Linked DNA regions of Rattus norvegicus. The protein of the gene in region 2 purifies or fractionates together with the protein of the main gene of each other region. This does not show direct contact. Links are inferred from orthologs where the notes say so. Each region holds a gene or a part of one and is shown on either strand. Other genes may lie near its edges. The genes, in order: Atxn7l3 and Tada1.

Region 1 (2,699 bases), on a different chromosome or scaffold from region 2:
CCAAGGAGGCCCATGGGGACTGAGGGGAAAGGGCTGCCCCCTGTGAGGCAGTTCTGGACGCCCACCTTAGCAGACAGCACTGTGCCTGCTGACCCCGGGGAATGGGGACATCTGATAGGACTCTGCACACAAACAGGACATAGCAGCCCTGCCCCTCAGCTCCAAGCACCAGACCCTTTCACATTGCTGAGGGCAGCCAGGGGAGGCCCCCTCTGGGCTCAGCTTCCAACCCAAAGCCGCCTGGGTAGCCACAATGCCCCTCGGCAGGGCTTAGTCCAGTTCCTGGGGTGGGGAGCAGGCAGTGCCCTGGCACAGTGCCCAGGTCAGGCCCCCAGCCTAGCTGGACATCCAGTAACTCACAGAATAAATAGGAAAACCGCCTCCCCACCAAACTTATGTCCAAGGCATAATATGTCCAGGTCTGAGTCCTGCACGCCGAGGGGTCATGCTTCATTGCAGAGGATCCTGACACCCCCCAGGGGCACATATTGGATCCTCTGCCTGCCTGGCCCACCAAGCTTCCCATGCCCAAACCCCCAGCAGCTGTCCATGTGCCAGGCTATGCTGCCTGGGTGGGGGTCGGGAGAGAGGGCTCTCTCAGCCAAAGGCTATTCCTTGCACCCAAGTCAGTTGATGTCCTCATAGATGCTGGGCGCTGGGGGAGCCGGTGGCTTTGGCTTTTTCTTCTTGTTGGAGCCCAGGCCAGAGGCAGTCCCTACCAAGCTCAGATGGGATTTCTTTTTCTTGGTTTTCCGTGATTCAGAGCTGTTGGTACCTACAGAAGAAGAGTCACACGGGATGAAAGTGCAATTGTGGAAGGGTGCCCACTGCCAAAGCCCAAGATCAAGTGCATGGTATACCTAAACCCCATCCCTGATTTTCACTAGTCTTGGAGGAGCCTGAATCAGACGGTGAGAGATCAGAAGAACCGTCCCACTGAAGCCGGCTGAGGAGGGCCTGGCTGTCAGTCATGTCAAAGCCATCATTGTCCAAGGAGCTCTCTACCTCTGGAAGAACGCTAGAAGGAGGAATCAGAGACATGTTAGGGAAAAGAGCAGCAACCTGACCCACCGCCCTCCTGGAAAGGACACTTACGCCGAGGGCCCAAGGAAATAAATCCGCACGGTTCGCCTCTGCTCATCCGTGTGCTGCGGGCAGCGTAGTGACCTGGTGGGGACAGAATGATCAGACCCTGACAAGGCAGGGAAGGACTTCAGGAACTCAGGTGAAGCAGAAGCTGGAGGGACAGGGAAAGAGTCAGTGGTGAATCCCCAGATGGTGGCTAATGAGGCCTACTGGATGAAGGGAGGGTAAGGGTGGGCCCACTGTCAGATCCAGGGGTACGCCCAACCCATGCCCAGTCAGCCCCCTTTTAAGTTTCCAAGCTCACCTTGTGCACATCTTCTTGGTATGTTCAGAAATTACTCCACATTGCTGGAAAAAAGAACACAGCTGAAAGGAGGGGCAGGAGACCTGCTCGAAACACTAGATGCTCCCTCTATACCAGCGCTAGACTGACCAAGTAGAAACCAACCCCAGAGCTAGTGGACTAGGAAGCCCACTTTCACAGAACACTATGGCTCCTGCTGCTGTGCCACCTGTCTCCTTCAGGGTCCTACTCCCTGTCCAGCCCACACCAAAGCCCTCCCTCTCCAGTTACACACTGTGGTGAGCAGGCTCCGCAGCTCTTCTGGCCCCAGGGTCTCATAGCTGATCCCAGTTGAGTTGCTATACTGTGAGAAAACCAGAGGTACAGGTTAGAAGTAAAAAACGGGTCAGAGAAGTAAAGAGTGGGCAGCCAGAAAAGGAGCAGATGGAAAAGCAGTCCCTCTCACCCTTGCCTCCAAGTAATTTTCCAAGTCCTTCCAATCTACCTGCACATAGACACGGAGACGGGACCCACAAAGAACATGAACACCCAAGGCTTAAATAGCGCTACAAGCACTTGTAGTTGTCACAGCATCCTGGCCTCATTTTTCCAAATCCCAACCACCTCACAAGAGTAAGGAGAAGCACACGAAGGGCAGGCAGCATCCACTCACCTTAAAAGGATCGGAGTTGCTAAGTTCCCCTGAAGAAGAAAAAAGAAGGGGAAGGGTGTTTGATGCAGAGGTACAGACAGAGAACCCTGAAAATAACCAGAGAGGAAGTGGGGGTGACAGAAGGATCACAGGCCCTCCCTCATCCCCACTCCAAGCCCTGTAGTAACATAGCTAGCAGCACCCTGTGGGTCTAGCCCCACTTACCATTTTTGTGTTTTAGAGACTTGGATCTTCGAGGGGAATTAGGGTTCTGGAATGGGAGATACCATAGCTTTGGGGAAAGGGCAATGATAAGGGGGAGCCGAGAACCCAGGGAAGGAAAAAAGATTTGACAAAGAAACAACCTCAAACGAATACTATCCCTCCCAGTAAGACTGTCTGTCTAGATTCCCTCCCTCCCTCCCACCAACAAAACCTCTGGAGCTCCCGTCCACCAGACACCCTTACTCCCAAACCCAGGGATGCCCCCCAGTGACCTCACACTTGAGTCAAAAGACCTGAGCACTCCCTGCCCAAAGGGTAGAGAGTATCTGTCCTTCACCCAAACTTCCCCCATGCTCGCCCCGGCTCTCACCTTGTCTGATTTTCTCTTCTTGGCTGGGGGACAACAGAACAAAGAACAGTTACTTTCACGGTCTCGTTCTCAGAGCATTCATG
Region 2 (2,550 bases):
GAATGATCGTGACTGCCTATGAGCACGGGCTGGACAACGTCACCGAGGAGGCCGTGTCTGCTGTTGTCTATGCGGTGGAGGTTGGTTGCCTATTGGTAGAAGTAACTACAGATGATTGTGAGGAGCTTGTGTGTGTAAAGCTGATCCTGACAGGAACTGCATGCCACTCCTTGTCGTCACTGAAGGAGAGACACCTCACACTTAAAACCGAAGAATCACCTTTAATTGACACGTTTTCCAGACAGGTTCCTTCAAGTACTCATTCGCCTGCTAATCTCTTGTTTTAACTTGTCAATATAGGGAGAGTTTTTAAGAAGAAGAAAACAGAGATCAGAGACTGGGGTGGCTTAGGTCACTTGTGTAAGGTAGTGAGTGCTGCATTTAAAGAGCCTCCGTGTGGCATTTAAACAGTGGGGCTGTTGAACCCATGCCTCAGTCACCTGTCCACTTTGACAGAAGTGCATTGCACCAGTGCCAGACAGTACACAGCTGAGGGTAGATTATCCTCCTAGACATTTCTAAGATGATTGATGCCTTAAACGACTTCTGTGTGAAAACCCATATTAAACTGCGCGCGGGTGTACTGATAGAAGATAGTTACACCGGTATAAGTACAGGGCCTAGCCTGATCCTGGCTCTCCTGTGCTAACATGCATTGGGAGTGTTTTAGTTTCACATTCCCCAGCCAGCTCTGAGGTACTTGGCTCTTCTATAGGTGAGGAGAAATTGAATAGACATGTGTGGTGTTCTGCATCTGTTTGAAGAGCTTTTGAGAACAAAAAGCCTCTGCAGTGAACTTGGTAACCAGCGAATACTAGGTCTTATGTCAAATTTTAAAGTCATTTGTCTTTAAAAAAAAAAACAAAAAAAACCCAAAAAAACCAAACTACTTCCTTTCCCAAAACCCATTTCTGAGAAGCTTCAGCTAAGGAAAACAAAACAGAATGCCAGTGGAGTGGTGGACATCTGCTCTGTGTGATGTCCAGTCTCAGCCCTGCAAACTGAAATAAAATCCACTTCAGAGCAAAGCTTTCCCTGCAGAAAGCCTCCTCCTCCTAGAGAGCGGAGTGAAGACTCTGGCTCATGCGTCACCCGTACCCTGCCCCTGTCGGCGTGTACTCTGTTGAAGGGCAGCACTCTGTCGTTCTGCATCTCCACCTAAATGGGATGAGCGTGTGACAGGGGAACTTCTACACTTTGCCTTTGAGGGGCTCTTGCTATTTTTCTTTGTTTTTTTACAGAATCACCTCAAAGATATTCTGACTTCAGTTGTGTCGAGAAGGAAAGCTTACAGGGTTCGGGATGGTCATTTTAAATATGCCTTTGGTAGTAACGTGACCCCACAGCCATACCTGAAGAACAGTGTGGTGGCTTACAACAACTTGGTTGAAGGGTGAGTGCGTGGCTTCCTGTGCTCTGCTGCTTGGTCACTGACTTTATGCGATAGGCCACTGTTTAAAGGATCAGTTACTGTGTCTCTGCAAGTTTGACTTCAACACAGTTATTTCTTAAGCTGCATGCTCTATGGTTTTTTTTGTTTGTTTGTTTGTTTGCTTTTTGTTTTATTCTTTTTAAATCAGTGATCGTTTGATCTGATTGCTTTCTCACTTTCTGAAGTGGGATTGGGTAGTTCCTCAGATCCTCAGGTTGTTTCCTGATGGTAGCCTCTGCCTGTTGAGGATGTGGTTGGTCTCTTCTCAGCCAGAAGTGTGGTCTAAGGCTGGGTCTTTACAGTGGGAAGAGGAGGAAGAATGGTAGATGTTTGTTCATGGCCTCATATGACCCTTTTAGCCGGAGCTCAAGGCGGTGGCCTGTGTCCATGTCGTCTGATTGTTCTCAACATCCTGTTGTACAGATATGATCTAGATCCTCAACCCACTCTGGCTCCCAGGGCCATCTTCAGTTCCAAGCCACTCTTCTGTGAGTTGGCTTGGGTTACCTTTACCCATTCTGCTTTCTCACAAAATGTAGTGTTACTTTTAACCTGTAGGAAAGAAATAGCAGTACAGTTTTCTTGTGGTCACCGTAGTGACTGTTCTTACTCTAAAGGCTGGAGTTTGTCTGGTTGTCTGTCTAGTGGAGGACAGGAGGAAGGATGTGACCATACAAGGTCAGAGCAAATATTTAAGACTGGAAGGACAGGTAGGAGCTGCAATAGGGAGCTTACAGAGAGAAGGCAGGGTGAGCGCTGACAGTGGCTTTTCCAAGGCCCTGGAGACACTGATGAGTATCATCTCTTTAGGTTTCCACCGGTGGTAAGTTATTTCCCAAACATCATTCAGACATACTTGTTTGGCATTGCTTCATGTTTAAGTCACTCTCTAGGGAAAGACGAAAAAGACAAACCCCAGTGTTTGGGTAATCAGAGATGTTGGATTGTCTGTGCCATGGCTTTGTCCTGGAGCCCTCCATCCTCGCTCCCCGTCCCCAAAGCTGTTTCCCTAGCAGAGCTTCTCTCGTCTGGCGCTTTACATCCAGTTGCTGCCCGTCTTCGCTCCACATTCCAGGCAGCTGTGTACTTGCTGTGCTAATGTAGAGGCCGTGCCTGAC

Evidence for each region.
Region 1: the proteins of Tada1 (region 2) and Atxn7l3 purify together in Homo sapiens (affinity purification with mass spectrometry; 6 studies listed by BioGRID and IntAct, counting the BioPlex papers as one, with this or other methods). This does not show direct contact. The link is inferred for Rattus norvegicus from reciprocal best matches to the Homo sapiens genes TADA1 and ATXN7L3.

What each region holds. Positions count from the first base shown.
Region 1 is NC_086028.1:87,744,744-87,747,442, forward strand, and holds part of Atxn7l3 (ataxin-7-like protein 3), read right to left. Parts: intron 2,640-2,699; coding exon 2,617-2,639; intron 2,314-2,616; coding exon 2,247-2,313; intron 2,129-2,246; coding exon 2,043-2,128; intron 1,734-2,042; coding exon 1,665-1,733; intron 1,435-1,664; coding exon 1,391-1,434; intron 1,168-1,390; coding exon 1,096-1,167; intron 1,019-1,095; coding exon 861-1,018; intron 776-860; coding exon 627-775; 3' UTR 1-626. UniProt on the Homo sapiens protein: Component of the transcription regulatory histone acetylation (HAT) complex SAGA, a multiprotein complex that activates transcription by remodeling chromatin and mediating histone acetylation and deubiquitination.
Region 2 is NC_086031.1:81,175,579-81,178,128, forward strand, and holds part of Tada1 (transcriptional adapter 1), read left to right. Parts: coding exon 1-80; intron 81-1,241; coding exon 1,242-1,393; intron 1,394-2,550. UniProt on the Homo sapiens protein: Probably involved in transcriptional regulation.